Macaca fascicularis: one gene and its partners. The protein of the gene in region 2 purifies or fractionates together with the protein of the main gene of each other region. This does not show direct contact. Links are inferred from orthologs where the notes say so. Each region holds a gene or a part of one and is shown on either strand. Other genes may lie near its edges. The genes, in order: HSP90AB1, PSKH2 and CDC37.

Region 1 (4,266 bases), on a different chromosome or scaffold from region 2:
CCTCTTCACAGTAGGCTCACTGCTAGAACAGGGGGCCCTCCTGGAGGGAACCCGCTTCATGGGGCGACACAGTGAGTTTGCTGCCCATGCCCTGCTACTCTCCATCTGCTCTGCATGTGGCCAGCTCTTCATCTTTTACACCATTGGGCAGTTCGGGGCTGCTGTCTTCACCATCATCATGACCCTCCGCCAGGCCTTTGCCATCCTTCTTTCCTGCCTTCTCTATGGCCACACTGTCACTGTGGTGGGAGGGCTGGGAGTGGCTGTGGTCTTTGCTGCCCTCCTACTCAGAGTCTACGCGCGGGGCCGTCTAAAGCAACGGGGAAAGAAGGCTGTGCCTGTTGAGTCTCCTGTGCAGAAGGTTTGAGGGTGGAGAGGGCCTGAGGGGTGAAGTGAAATAGTCTTCTCACCATTTTCTCCTACTGTAACCCGAGGGAGCTGGCTCAAAGGGCAAAATGCAGGTGTTTTCTCAGTATCATAGACTCTGCAGCAGGGGGTGGGGAGCCCAGGAGGCAGCCTTCCCTTTTGCCTTAAGTCACCCATCTTCCAGCAGGCAGTTTATTCTGAGCCCCAGGGTAGAGATAGTCCTCAGTGAGGGGGAGTTTGGGGTCAAGAGGGCATAGGTAGGTTCCACAGTTCCCCCTCCCAGAAGTTTCCTTAAGTCTTGCCCTAGCTGTGCTCTGCTGCCTTCCAGACTCCCCTCTGCAAATACCTGCATTTCTTACCCTGGTGAGAAAAGCACAAGCGGTGTAGGCTCCAATGCTGCTTTCCCAGGAGGGTGAAGTGAAGATGGTGCTGTGTTGTGGAAAGGGGATGCAGATCCCTGCCCAGCACCACCACCTCCTATGCTCCTGGATCCCTAGGCTCTACTCCATGAGCCTGTTGTAGGTTTTGGTACTTTAGAAATGTAACTTTTTGCTCTTATAATTTTATTTTATTAAATTAAATTACAGTAATGGACTTGGTCCTGTGTTTTGACTGAAAAGGCATTATTATATGGTAGTTTTTCAGAAAAACTGCCTTTAGCTTCAGTGTGTGCACTCTTAAGACTCACTGGTATTCTGTATCTTAGCTACAAAACCAGCTTAACTTGCTGTGCTCATGAAAACAGCAAGAGCTGGGGGGGATAGAGAAGCTAGGGAAGAATAAACATCCACTTCACAAGGGAGAGCAAAAGTGTATAAAAACGGCATATTCTTTATTTTGCATACTTTAATTTCAGAACAAAATGAAGAAAATAAAATAAACCACAACACACAACATCCAATCCTGCTGTCAGAGTAGAGAGGGAATGGGGCTTGACACCCTTGGTTTCCTGCCTTCAACACAAGGACAGGAGAGGAAAAACAACACTAGACATCAGCAGGGGGAGCCAGGTGGGACAGGGGCACTTGAGGCTGCAGTGGGAGCCACGGGGACACTATACAAGGGCACAAGTTTTCCAACTATGAACTTCTAACCTAATCGACTTCTTCCATGCGAGACGCATCCTCATCGCCCTCAAGAGGGGGAATCTCATCAGGAACTGCAGCACTGGGTTCTTCTGCTGCCACTTCATCTTCATCAATACCTAAAGTAAAATTAAGCCATGTAAGACTTGATTAAATAGCATTAAGTCAAATCCAGACAGGAGCCTAGTTGCACAAACTCCTTGCCACATCAAGTACCAAAGCTGCTTACCTAGACCTAGCTTGATCATGCGGTAGATGCGGTTGGAGTGGGTCTGGGGATCCTCAAGGGAAAAGCCTGAAGAGAGCAGGGCGGTTTCAAACAGCAGCACCACCAGGTCCTTAACTGCCTTATCATTCTTGTCGGCCTCAGCCTTCTGCCGCAGAGTCTCCACAATGGGGTGGTCAGGGTTGATCTCCAGGTGCTTTTTGGCCATCATATAGCCCATGGTGGAGTTGTCCCGAAGTGCCTGGGCTTTCATGATCCGCTCCATATTGGCTGTCCAGCCATAGGTGCTGGTCACAATGCAGCAGGGTGAAGACACAAGCCTATTGGAGATTGTCACCTGTGGACAATCACAAAAGCCTTAGATTTGCATTAGATCAGTGACCACTTTGAAAGAGAAAACGGACACTGTCAAGCCTGTAATTCCAGCAGGGGGAGGAGGAGGAGGTGGGGCCGATCACTTGAGTTTGAGACCAACCTGGCAAAACCCTCTCTCTACAAAATATACAAAAAATTAACCGGGTGTGGTGGCACATGTCTGTAATCCCAGCCACTCAGGAGACTTGAATTTGCAGTGAGCTGAGATCCAGTCAAAAAAAGAAGAAAATAATATTTTATCTACTCTCACAAGTTAACTGAAGCAATGCCTAATCTGTGCCAAATTTTATTAAAATAGCCTTAAACCTGGCTAGGGAAGAGAACAAGAGGCAAGAAGGCTCCAAACAGTAAATAGGGTGCCTCAAGCCACTAATTGTGTAAAAACATGATTGTGAGGGAGCCCACCTCAAAGGTATGTTACAAAATATATCCTAGCTCCAGAATGGCTTACCTTCTCAACCTTCTTATCTAAGATTTCTTTCATGAGCTTGCAAAGGTTCTCAAACTTTGCCTTGCTCTCTTCCATCTTCTTCTTCTCCTCCTCATCCTCAGGCAGCTCCAGACCCTCCTTGGTAACTGAGACCAGGCTCTTCCCATCAAACTCCTTGAGCTGCTGCACACAGTACTCGTCAATGGGCTCGGTCATATATACCACCTCGAAGCCCCGTTTCCGCACTCGCTCCACAAAAGCTGAGTTGGCCACCTGCTCTTTGCTCTCACCTGTAGGGTAATTAAATGGACTCAGTGACTAAAATGCCTCATACTGCCAGTTCCTAGGTAGCCCTGAAATGTGCTCCCCACTCCTCCAAAAAGGCTTCCATCAGAACCAACGCACCAGTGATGTAATAGATGGACTTCTGTGTCTCCTTCATGCGAGAAACATACTCTGACAGAGATGTCATCTCATCTCCAGACTGGGAGGTGTGATAGCGCAGCAGCTCAGACAGGCGGCGGCGGTTAGTGGAGTCCTCGTGGATTCCAAGCTTGAAGGGTGGGAAGAGAAAAAACAATCCAACTTAACTACAATTCACTTTCTATGTGAATGGAAAAATTTGTTAGTAATTACTAAGAAAGTGGTAAAGGGAATAAGCATTTGCTTCTTTACCTTGAGATTTTTAGAGAATGCCTCATAGAATTTCTTGTAATTCTCCTTGTCTTCTGCCAGCTCAGAGAAGAGCTCAAGACACTTCTTAACAATGTTTTTACGAATGACTTTCAAGATTTTGCTCTGCTGGAGCATTTCTCGGGAGATGTTCAGGGGCAGATCCTCAGAGTCAACCACACCACGAATAAAATCTGCCATCAACCAGGATAAGAAAGCTCAGTAAAAATAGCTAGACCAGAGCTGGTACCCAGATTCAAACAGAAGGCTCTAATAGCCTCCTGAACCCTTATACTTACTATGCATTGCAGAAAATCCTTAACCTAGGATATTCTGGCAGAATGCCGAAAACCTCCCAAGACTTCACCCAACTAAATTAGGCCAAGGAGATACTCACTGAGATACTCTGGTATTAACTCATCACAGCTGTCCATGATGAACACACGACGGACATAGAGTTTGATGTTGTTCTTTTTCTTCTTGTTCTCAAAAAGGTCAAAGGGAGCCCGACGAGGAATGAATAGCAATGCCCTGAATTCCAACTGACCTTCTACAGAAAAGTGCTGAAAAAAAACAAAAAATAAGCAAGTGATACATTTCAAAAGAGGGCCTTTTAGCCCCAACACCAAATTACCTAAAAATGGAATAATGATCCTCCCCATAAGCCTAACGGATAGAGCGCACACACAGGCAGTTCCCGAGAAAACTGAGCCTTAATGCCCTCAACGATCTAGACGAATACTAGCTGTATATAGAAAACAGTCCGCTCTGATCAGAACTCTGGATGTGTAAGGCTGCCAATAGACATTACCCAGATTTCCTTTAGAGAAAGTGAGGTCATTAGGAAGGATGGCACTTCACTATGACCGGGTAATCAGTAAGTGAAAATACATAGCTCTCACATTTCTGTTATCAGCTGGACACGTTCCATGTGTCTATTACCTGCCAACACTCTTCCACTTATTCCTCTCCATATTTGCATGTTGACCCAACATGCAAAGGCTTCTCACCTTGACTGCCAAGTGGTCTTCCCAGTCATTGGTGAGGCTCTTATAGAATTCTCCATACTCCTCTTGGGTGATGTCATCAGGGTTTCTGGTCCAAATAGGCTT
Region 2 (5,849 bases):
CATTTTTAAAGGGCTTTAAAATCAGCGACTGTGTTTTCCAATTTTCAAGAAACACGGTTTAGGCTTAGCGGGAGGCTTGTGACAAAGCTTTCTCTGCTGTGCGGCCAGCCGCAGCCAGCACAGAAGAGGCTTCTGCAGCCTACTATGAAGGCCCTCATTGCTGGAAGAAGGCAGACAGGCAGAGGGACTGTGTCTGGTGTCTTCACTGCTGCCCAGGTTTAGGTTTTATAGTAGATGCTTCCTATATGCTGTGCGATCCTTATGCAAACAATCCTTACAACAGGCTCTCTGAGGAATGCATTTTGGTTTTTTCCTGAGCAGTACCTTAACATCTGACTTCAGTTTGTTCCCTTTGTTTCTGTCTTCCATTCTGTTTATACTATTAGGTTGATGCAAAAGTAATTGCAGCTTTTGCCTTTATTTATTTATTTATTTATTTATTTATTTATTTATTTTTGACATGGAGTCTCGCTTTGTCACCCAGGCTGGAATGCAGTGACGGGATCTCAACTCACTGCAACCTTTGCCTCCCAGGTTCAAGCAGTTCTCCTTCCTCAGCCTCTCAAGTAGCTGGGTCTACAGGCACGCACCACCAGGTCTAGCCAGTGTTTGTATTTTTTGTAGAGATGGAATTTCACCATGTTGGTCAGGGTGGTCTAGATCTCCTGACCTCGGGTGATCCACCTGCCTCGGCCTCCCAAAGTGCTGGGATTACAGGTGTGAGCCACTATGCCTGGCCTTGCCTTTACTTTTAATGGCAAAAACACAATTGCTTTTGCTCCAGCCTAATAAATAGCCTATTCTGCAAATTAATTCAAAAGCTCAAGACATGTAAGAACGAGTTGTTTACCTGCTTAAAATAAACCTTGTTTCCTTGTTTCTTAGTAGTTGGAAAATTCTGAGGGTTCTTTAGGAAGAAAAGTCCATTATTTGGTAGTTATGCTCTCTTTGCAGGATGAACTAATTTTCCCTCAGCTATATGCAAGCCATATTTTAAATTTTCCATCAAAATATAGCTCTGGGAAAATTCATGACTACTTTATTCATCACAGACATTCCTTGTTAAACCAAACTACAAATTAAATGAAATTAGAAAGGAAATTACACAAATTGAAGTAGCACTGGCCTGGAAATCAGGAAACAGCCTCCAGTTCCAGTTCTACAACTTGTGAGGCATGTGATCTTGATTTGCTTGATCGTGACTGGATTTCATTTCCCACACATCATTTTTGTGTGTGTGTGTGTGTGTGTGTGTGTGTATGAATGAATATAATTGACAAATGTCAATGAGGTCTAATCAATATAGTGATATAATCAATATACCTTTATCAAAATGATAAATATTTATAAGTATAATACTGTGTGTGTATAATTTATATACACACATTCACATACATGTATAATATATATAAATAACATAAGAATGAAATGTATAGAAAATGTAAAGTTACTATATATATTTATATATACACACACATATATATACACATACATATATACACACACACACACACACACACACACACACAGGTTTTCTCCTTGTATTTGCTTAGGGTGTTCGTCTGGGTTCTAAACATCTACTGTGGCCCTAAGTTTTTCTGTCTTAGATGGATTACCCGTAAGATGGTCATGAGGGCCAGACACAGGCCTTTGTCAACTGTTTAATGCAATAGAAGGCAGTGAAGTTCTACTTTAAATATTATAAGCTCTTAGAATTTTAATTGTTCATGTCATCCGAATATGAGCTCAGCGAAAAGTTCTTTAGAGGGACGATATCCTTTATAGAATCGTATAACTGTATATGTTCACTTCCTCAGGTTAGAGATGCAGAAAGTGAAGCCCAGAGAATTAGGCGCAGGCTCTGCCTGCTGGTTGACTTTGCTTTCATCACGTCAGATTACACACACAGACGGTGACCAGCGATGCTCCAGGCATCTCGGTCGTCAGCGGGTATCCTGAGGGCTGTCCGCCTGACCGCGACCCCCCAGTGGGGTTTCTTTCCGAGTGTGCCGCCCCTCACAGCTGCTCTGGGATAAAGGGCGGAGGAACAGAGCTGGCTGCTCCCCGAGTCCCCGGGTCCTGCGAGCGCCGGTCGTGTTGCGGGTATGGGGTGCGGCGCCAGCAGGAAGGTGGTCCCGGGGCCGCCAGCGCTGGCCTGGGCCAAGCACGAAGGTCAAAGTCAAGCCGGCGTCGGAGGTGCGGGGCCACGGCCCGAGGCGGCGGCCCAGGCGGCGCAGAGGATACAGGTGGCTCGCTTCCGAGCCAAGTTCGACCCCCGGGTCCTTGCCAGGTAAAGCGCCACGTGAGGAACTGGCCTGGGACTGGGCTGACAAAGAAAAATCCCTGGCCAAGACCGCCTCAAGGTTTCCTTCAGCTTGACTCAATTTTGGACAGGGTTCTTTCGGATGATAGACCACTGATCTACCCTTCTCTGCCCTTTTAAGATGTAAATCTTCTACAACCCAAGAGTGTCCTTTTCAAGCACCTGGGAGCCATCCCTTTGAAATGTAGTCATCAAGAGAGTCAGGGCCACTGTCTCCCAGTCCCTGTGGGAGGGTAGGAGCCTAACTTCCATTAGGGCCAGGCAGCAAACACAGATCTCATTGACCACCTCTCCCTAACCTTCCCCCATTCTTTTCCACTAGCTCACCCCAGAGCTTAAAAACTTTCTTGCCTTTTCTTTCAAAGGCGTCCATTTCCTTTCCTCTGTTGCAGAAGCCTTGACCCCTATTGCAATAGTCTGGGATAAGCCTTCTTTGCTGTGTTCCATAAGTGCCCAGTACAATTTATCTTTGACATCTCTGAGCAGGGAGTTCAGAGGATGGGAAAAAAGAGAGCAGGAGCAGCAGCAAACAAGGGAAAGAATTCCTGTCTTCAGAGGTGGGGTGTGGGGCTGTGAGAGGACTGCCTACCAACCTCCAGCGTCTGTGGCAGAAGACAGCTTTGCCACCAATATCCTAGGGCTGGGTCCTACCAGACCTGGTGTGTGAAGGATCTTCCACTAAATTCTAAAAATTGGGATTACAGTGAGTGAACTAGAGACACGCCTTTGAGTCAGCCAGGCTTAAGGTCCAGTTCTATCTCTTCTATCATGTACCATTTCGACTATTCCTTAGCTTTTTTCCTTCCTTAGTTTCTGCCTCTGTAAAATGGGAGTATCTATCTCATAAGACTGTTGGCAGCATAATTAAAGTAATACATGCAAATTATGCTGCACAGTGCATGGCACCAGTCCTCCTGTAGACATTAGTGCAATGCTGATTACTGTCTTCATGAAGTACAAATAAGCCCTCGCTATGTAGAAGATTGCAAGTTGGTTGGCCTCCTCAGAGTGTACCATGTTGGACATGTTGGACATTTTGACCAAGTAAATCACAGAATCCCCTTCTCCTCTGTGTGTTTGGGGGCACACAATAATGGGTGGCTCAGCTGGCTTCCCAAGGCACTTCTGGTCCTAGAATTGCACACTCACTTCATCACAGTGCTCTGTCCAGAATCTATGCAGAGCCATTTCCTGGCTCTTTGAGAACTTTTAATGACTCCTGGAGGATTAGTCCAGTGGCTGCTAAGTTTAGAGAAGAATAAAACTGACTAATATGACTGAACTGAATCTGAGTAGGTACAGGGTCTTGTCAAGACTGAATTGGTTAAATAGCATCTCTGGTCATTTGTAGTCAGAGAGTTGATGCTAGTCTGATCTAGTCTTCATCCACCCTCCTCATTCCCAATCCCCGGGTAGACCCAGCCCCATAGAGTGTAAAGGGATCACAGAAGTAGAGGATCTCAACATTACAAGGGCTTCAGAGACTGTAACTCAAGGCTCATCTTTAACCAATGAGTAGTTGAGTTCCCAAAGGTTAAGTGATGACTTGTCCAAGTTAATGGTAGAATTGGGACTAGAACACAGTCATCTTTCTTCTCCATTGTGATTCCATCTATAACTTTTGCAGAAAAGAGATGATAGAATTTAAATATGAGTATATTTACTTTCTTTTTTTTCTTTTTTTTTTTTTTGAGACGGAGTCTCGCTCTGTCTCCCAGGCTGGAGTGCAGTGGCCGGATCTCAGCTCACTGTAAGCTCCGCCTCCGGGTTTACGCCATTCTCCTGCCTCAGCCTCCCAAGTAGCTGGGACTACAGGCACCCGCCACCTCACCCGGCTAGTTTTTTGTATTTTTTTAGTAGAGACGGGGTTTCACCGTGTTCGCCAGGATGGTCTCGATCTCCTGACCTCATGATCCGCCCGTCTCAGCCTCCCAAAGTGCTGGGATTACAGGCTTGAGCCACCGCGCGCGGCTATATTTACTTTCTTGTTGGGAGTTTATTACAATTGTTTCTCTCAAGCAGATTGTGACATTATTATTATTTTCTTGTTTCAAATCTTTATGTTCAAAAATTCCCAGTTTGTATAATAGCAACTGAGGTTAAAGTAATATTTCCAATTTATGTAGTCTCTGGAATGATACAAAATAGCCCCACCTATAAACTGACTTTGAGGCTACTCTTTTAAGAGAGTGGAGGGGTAAAAGTGAAGGAAATGAAAAGACCTTATAGAGGCATTCTTCCCTGTTTGATGTGATTTTTACTTAATATTTTCAATATATATATGATGATTCAGGAATAATATGTATTCGGTGAATGATTCTTTTGTTCAATGTTTATTGCTACTTCTCTGTGCTAGGCACTTTACAAGGTATAATCACGCAAATCATAAAGATGGTCACCGTTCATGGCTGTTGAGGACTCATGAGCAAGGCTGCAGCTGTAAGAATTTGTTATGGGACAAATTGAATAACAATCTGAAGCATTTACTTCCACCACTCTAAATCTTGGCTTAAAGTGTACTGTTTCCTCCAATGCCAAATTACTAGCAATTTTTCAAATATTGGAAATATGAAGGCCCCTTAACAGTATTGAAAAAAGCTTCTTTTATTTGAGCAAAAGAGTGTAGTTCTCAGAAATGGTAGTTTGTTTGATATGATTAATTCTGTGAACAAATGAGTTTGGTGGCAGCTTTGAGGGCATGGCGATAAATTAGCATTTGCAGAGTGCTTTCATCCATAATAGAGGTAATATAAAACTTGGTTGGTCTGCAAAGCAATAGAATTTGAAATGCCTGTGATTATCTTCAAAATCACACTGGGAATGCATGTAAATAAAAAAGCAGAGATGGAAAGGGAAAAGGGGAAAGAATCTATTTAAGATTACTAAATTGCTATCTGTTTTGATAAGGTAATTGGCCAGAAAATTAAGTGCTCTGTGGAGAACAAAGCTGTTTTCTGTAATCTGGTACAGCCAAACGTCATTTTTATTCAATACACACAGGAATATAAAGAACAAACAAGAAGGCAAAGAAAAAAAAACGTTACAGGAAAAATAAGCTCAATAAAAGAAGTAAGACTATTTAAAGAATAGTTTAGTATTTGTATTTGAATCTTCAGTATTGAATATGTGGTATAAAAATGTGCCTTCTCCCTGGGTGCTCCCTGAGTACATTCCATTCTCTGTCATCCTTAGCTAGGAGAGGTTTTATTAAAATGAAGTCTGGGTACAGTGGCTCACATCTGTAATCCCAACACTTTGGGAGGCTGAGGTGGGCAGATCACTTCAGGTCAGGAGTGCAAGACCAGCCTGGCCAACAAGGTGAAACCCCGTCTCTAATCTAAAAAAAATACAAAAATTAGCCGGGCAAGGTGGCGTGCACCTGTAATCCCAGCTACTCAGGAGGCTGAGACAGGAGAATCACTTGAACCCAGGAGGCAGAGGTTGCAGTGAGCCAAGATCATGCCACTGTACTCCAGCTTGGGTGACAGAGCAAGACCATCTCAAAAAAAAAAAAAAAAAAAAAAAA
Region 3 (5,299 bases), on a different chromosome or scaffold from region 2:
ATGGTCTCCGTCACGACTCAACTCTGTGGCAGAGCAAGATCGGTTGTAGATGACAGTGAAACAATTGAGCATGGCTTCTTTGTTGCAATAAAACTTTATTATAAAGACAGGCAGTGAGTCTGGGAGCTGCGGTTTGCAGAAGCTGGTCTAGATGGCTATGCCCATAGAAGCTTCTAGAAACTCATGGCCAGTCCTGCAGCTAGACCCATTTTACAGACGAGAAAACCAGGGTGACCAACCAGTGAGCCAAGTGGTAGGAATAGGGTCAATCGTGTCCTACTTAGATTCAACGTCTATTGCCACTTCCAAAAATACAGCCAGTGAGACCTTCTTTATAAAAACATAATTTTTAGAAAAAAAATCAGTGAGATGTCATGGTGTCAGCCTATAATCCCAGGTACTTGGGGAGGCTGAGGTGGGAGGATCACTTGAGCCTGGGAGGTGGAGGCTGCAGCCTGGGTGAGAGAGGAAGACCCTGTCTGTCAAAAAAAAAAAAACAGATGGCCAGGTGCAGTGACTCACGCCTGTAATCCCAGCACTCTGGGAGGCTGAGGCGGGCGGATCACGAGGTCAGGAGATTGAGACCATCCTGGCTAACACAGTGAAACCCCGTCTCTACTAAAAAATACAAAAAATTAGCCGGGCATGGTGGTGGGTGCCTGTAGTCCCAGCTACTCGGGAGGCTGAGGCAGGAGAATGGTGCAAACCCGGGAGGCGGAGTTTGCAGTGAGCAGAAATAGCACCACTGCACTCCAGCCTGGGTGACAGAGCGAGACTCTGTCTCAAAAAAAAAAAAACCAGACAAAATCCAATTAACAGCCAGCATTTACCAGCCCCTGCCGTGTGCTCAGCTCCTTTCCCCACACGTTTTGTGAGCTGATATTGAGAGAAAATATGGTTTGCATAAGGAAACTGAGGCTGGACTCAGTCACATTAACAGTGACTATCAGTCACAAGGGACATACGCTCAAAGCTCAGCATTTATCTGCTGGATGCTGGGACACAGTAGGTGCTCAATAAATGTGGGTGTGTGCCAAGGTAACACGACCCCCCTTAGTCCTTGGAGAAGCCTTGAAGGGGCACTTTCACCAACTGGCTTCAGAGACTTGGGACACAGGGCTGGGGGAGACACATGGCCCGCTGGAAAGGCATGGGACGTGGGGGTTACTCACGGTGGGGTCCATCTTGCTGATGGCGTCTTGCAGCATCTGCACGTCCTTTACATCGAAGCACTTCTGGAGTTCCTGGGGGTATAGAAGGGCTGGGGTCAGGGGCTGGGTCCCTGTGCCCTGGGGGGTCCCGCTCAGGGTCCTCCTGCCGCCCGCCTGGGCTGGGGAGCCGCACCTCAGGGAGGGACTCGTAGACCTCGACAGGGTCCAGGCCGCCGGGGCCAAGCCGCTTCTTGCGCTCCTCCTCCTCATACTCCTTCATGGCCTTCTCAATGCGCAGCTTGGCACGGCCCCGCACACGCTCCTTGAAGGCTTCTAGCTCGTCGTTGAAGCCCTCCATGTACTGGCGATCGGCTGTCTATGGGGGTCGGGCAGTGCTCACTAGACTTGGCCCAGTGCTCAGGAGGGACTGGGGGCCCAGGACCCTCCAGCCACAGCTCCTCAGAGGTGCCCCAGGGCTCCCTAAGTCTGTTCCTGACTTACATAAAGGGCTTCCCAAGGCCTGGGCTCCCCTGCCAGGGACCTCATCTGGCATTTGCTAAAGACCACCTCCTTGGGAGCCCTGCTCTACTGCAGATCCGAGACACTCGTGTCCTCAGTGTCCCTGCATGGGCACCTCTAACTCAACACGGCCACCTCCCAGCCTGCCTTGTCCTTGGTCTCCCCAGTCTTGGTAAGGGTACCCCTGTTCCTCCAGGTGCGCAAGTTAAAAACCCGAGAGGCTGGCAGGCGCCTGTAATGCCAGCTACTTGGGAGGCTGAGGCATGAGAGTTGCTTGAACCCAGGAGGCAGGGGTTGTAGTGAGCTGAGATCACGCCATTGCACTCCAGCCTTGGTGATAGCAAGACTGGGTCTCAAAAACAAAAAAAAGCCCAGAGCCCTAGAGGCACCCTCACCTCTGTCCTTTACCCACATATCCACATGGGGACCTCCAGCACATCCTAGTGCTCCCATTTTTTTTTGTAATGCAGTTTTGCTCTGTCACCCAGGCTGGAGTGCAGTGGAACACCACAGCTCACAAATTCCTGAGCTCAAGTGGTCCTCCTGCTTCAGCCTCCCAAAGACTTGGACTATAGGACTCAGTCACCAAGCCTGGCCTGACCTCCACTTTTAAAGTCTGGCAGCATCCGCCCACTTCTCTCCCCCTCCTTGGCCCCGCCCTCTCCTGATCTAGGATTCGGTGATTGGAGGGGCTTGAGTCCCAGTGGACAGGAGTCGGCCTTACCCAGAGCGCTGTGGGCTGGTTCCCTGGGGAGGGGGCCTCCAGCCACCTGGCAGCTCAGGGGACCCTACCTTAATCTTAGTGAAGAACTGCCGGAAGCAGGCCCGGGGGTCCACCTTCAGGCTCTTGGCCAGCTCCAGGATAAACTGCATGACGATTGTCTGGTGGGCCACCTGCTCCATGAGTGCACATTTCTGCCAGGGAGAACAGGCACAGTGTTACCAAGTGGCGGCCTCAGGGCAGCACCTTTTCACAGCCCTGGGGAAAGCTCCACTCACCTCCTCCACCTCTAGGTCAATGCACCAGATGACCAGGTAATTGGCCGTCTCCTCGCACACCAGGTGGACATTGTCTGACAGGTACTTTTGGCTGTCATCCCAGCGGCGGAGCATGCCTGTGGGAAGATGCTGGCAAGGTGCTGGAGGGCCCTGGAGGCAAAGGGCCTGCCCCGACCTTGCCCCCCATAACCTCACACGCCCCACTCACCAAAGTGCTTGATCTGTTTCTCGTACTTTTCCACGAAAGTCTTGTGTTTCTGCTCCCTCACCTCCTCTGAGTCCTCCTCTGTCTTCTCGGGCTTGGTGTTGACCATGCTCTGTGGTAGGGTGAGAGGGGGAGTGGGCTGGGGCAAGGCTGCGGAGCGCCTCGAGTGCGGCCGGGCGGGCCGTGGCCGCAGCGCCCATCCCATCCACGGCGGAGGTGGTGACGAAGCCATGAGCATCAAGGTGGCGGGAGCGTGGGCATGGGCCTTGGGGCAGATCAGAGGAGGGGACCGGTGGGGTGTTTCATCCGCCCGGCCCTCCAAGCCTGTCCCCCCTCCCACGTGGCCCCCGTCCGTCCCTCAGCTCTCTGCCCCACACCACACTCTTCAACTACACCGCCGCGGTCCTCCCCTGACCAGGCATTGGGTGCGCATGCGTCCTGGCTGCATACTCGCTGGCTGCGCAAGTGCACTGCCCGCCCCGCCCGCCCCGCACACCTTGCTGAAGCCGTCTTTGCTGAGCGTGTCCACGTTCCAGGGCATGCTCTTCTCCTTCTTGCGCATCTCTTCCAGCTTCTGCTCCCAGCTCCGCTCCTCTTTGCGCAGCTGCTGTGCCTCGGCCTGCAGCCGCTCCAGCTCTGCCTTGCCGCCCTCAGCCACCTCCAGCTCCTTCAGCTTCCTCTGGCATTCGGCCACCTTGCGCTTGCACTCGCGGCAGCCCCTGTCCAGTTCCTCCTTCTCCTTCTGGAACTGCTCCATGCGCTCCACCCGGGCCTGCGGGCAGGGGCGGCCTATCAACTTTGGGGAGCGGCCTGTCCCTTACCCCCAGCCCCATACCCAATCCCCGCACCAGAGATGGCCCCGGGAAAAAGTATGCCTCCACCTCCCGTGCCCTGGTCTCCCAGCTTCCGCCCCTGCCCCCACAGGTGCCGACGCACACCCAAGTGGGGTCCGGTCCCTCCGTCCTCCGCTCAGAACCCTGGCGGCTCCCATCTCACTCAGAGCAGAGTCCAGGTTGTCACCACAGCCTACGTAGGCCCTACACAATCTGCCCCAGCACCTCCCCTGCTAACTCTTCCTTCCAGCCACACTGGCCCCTCACTTTTCTCACCTTTTCTTGAGACCATTTTTTTTTCTTTTAGAAAAAAAACAAAAAAACAGGGTCTCACTCTGTCGCCCAGGTCAGAGTGCAGTGGCCCAATGACGACTTACTGAAGCCTCGACCTCCCTGGGCTCAGGCAATCCTCCCACCTCGCCTCCCGAGTAGCTGGGACTACAGGTGTGCACCACCACGCCCAGCTAATTTTTGTATTTGCAGTAAAGATGGGGTTTCGCCATGTTGCCCAGACGGGTCTTGAAGTCCTGGGTTCAAGCGACTCTTCCGCCTTGGCCTCCCAAAGTGCTGGGACCACAGGCAGGAGCCACTCTGCTCTGCAGAGCCTGCTTTTTTCTTGAACTTCAAGGCCTTCACACTGGCTGTTCCAACTACTTGGAATGATTTTCCCTCAGATCCCCCCACAGCTGACTCTATGGCACCCGCACCATCTGGGCTCCATGTTGCCTTAGCGAGGACCCCTTCCCTAACCACCTTCCTATTGATGGCAACCTCCCGCTGCCCCCGTCTGGAATTCCCTGCCTCAACACCAGCCACCACTCACATCATATGACAATTATTTATCACGTTTTTGGGTACTGCCCCGCCCCGCTCTCTAAATATGGGAATGTGTTTGCCATTTTGTCTCCAGAACCAGGAACTTGGCCTGGCGCAAAGCAGGGGCTCAGCAAATGCTTGTTTTTTTGTTTTTATTTTGTTTGGTTTTCTTTGAACAAGGTCTTGTTGTCATGCAGACTAGAGTGCAGTGGTGCGATCATGGTTCACTGCAGCCTTGACCTCCCAGGCTCAAGAGATCCTCCTGCCTCAACCTCCCAACTAGCTAGGACTAAAGGTGCACAGAAACCACCATGCCCAGCTATTGTTTTTTTTTTGTTTTTTTTTTAGATGGAGTCGCCCAGGCTGGAGTGCAGTGGTACGATCTTGGCTCACTGCAACCTCTGCCTCCCGTTTTCAAGAGATTTTCCTGCCTCAGCCTTCTGAGTAGCTGGGATTACAGGCATGCGCCACCACACCAGGGTAATTTTATATTTTTAGTAGAGACCAGGTTTCTCCATGTTGGTCAGGCTGATCTGGAACTCCTGACCTCAAGTGATCCACCCACCTTGGCCTCCCAAATTACTGGGATTACAGGCATGAGCCACTGTACCAGGGCCCCTTCTAGATGTTTCTTTGTTCCACCCATAACCTTGCTCCAGGATCACTGCCTAGGCCCCCTTAGCTCTGTCTCCAGCCCAGCATGCCCTCCTGAGCCCCAGCTTGGTGTCTACCTGCTTCCCGCTCACCCAAGCCCCAGATGTCACTCCCCAGGCATT

The links.
Region 1: the proteins of PSKH2 (region 2) and HSP90AB1 purify together in Homo sapiens (affinity purification with mass spectrometry; 3 studies listed by BioGRID and IntAct, counting the BioPlex papers as one, with this or other methods). This does not show direct contact. The link is inferred for Macaca fascicularis from reciprocal best matches to the Homo sapiens genes PSKH2 and HSP90AB1.
Region 3: the proteins of PSKH2 (region 2) and CDC37 purify together in Homo sapiens (affinity purification with mass spectrometry; 3 studies listed by BioGRID and IntAct, counting the BioPlex papers as one, with this or other methods). This does not show direct contact. The link is inferred for Macaca fascicularis from reciprocal best matches to the Homo sapiens genes PSKH2 and CDC37.

What each region holds. Positions count from the first base shown.
Region 1 is NC_088378.1:127,264,171-127,268,436, forward strand, and holds the end of HSP90AB1 (heat shock protein HSP 90-beta), read right to left. Parts: coding exon 4,165-4,266; intron 3,718-4,164; coding exon 3,552-3,717; intron 3,349-3,551; coding exon 3,158-3,348; intron 3,036-3,157; coding exon 2,888-3,035; intron 2,773-2,887; coding exon 2,504-2,772; intron 2,015-2,503; coding exon 1,681-2,014; intron 1,571-1,680; coding exon 1,461-1,570; 3' UTR 1,178-1,460; downstream 1-1,177. Other genes in the region: SLC35B2 (adenosine 3'-phospho 5'-phosphosulfate transporter 1), read left to right, coding at 1-367. UniProt on the Homo sapiens protein: Molecular chaperone that promotes the maturation, structural maintenance and proper regulation of specific target proteins involved for instance in cell cycle control and signal transduction. Undergoes a functional cycle linked to its ATPase activity.
Region 2 is NC_088382.1:95,810,035-95,815,883, reverse strand, and holds the start of PSKH2 (serine/threonine-protein kinase H2), read left to right. Parts: upstream 1-2,010; 5' UTR 2,011-2,105; coding exon 2,106-2,290; intron 2,291-5,849.
Region 3 is NC_088393.1:10,957,468-10,962,766, forward strand, and holds part of CDC37 (hsp90 co-chaperone Cdc37), read right to left. Parts: intron 3,647-5,299; coding exon 3,371-3,646; intron 3,140-3,370; coding exon 2,878-3,139; intron 2,786-2,877; coding exon 2,670-2,785; intron 2,586-2,669; coding exon 2,463-2,585; intron 1,528-2,462; coding exon 1,345-1,527; intron 1,245-1,344; coding exon 1,173-1,244; intron 1-1,172. UniProt on the Homo sapiens protein: Co-chaperone that binds to numerous kinases and promotes their interaction with the Hsp90 complex, resulting in stabilization and promotion of their activity. Inhibits HSP90AA1 ATPase activity.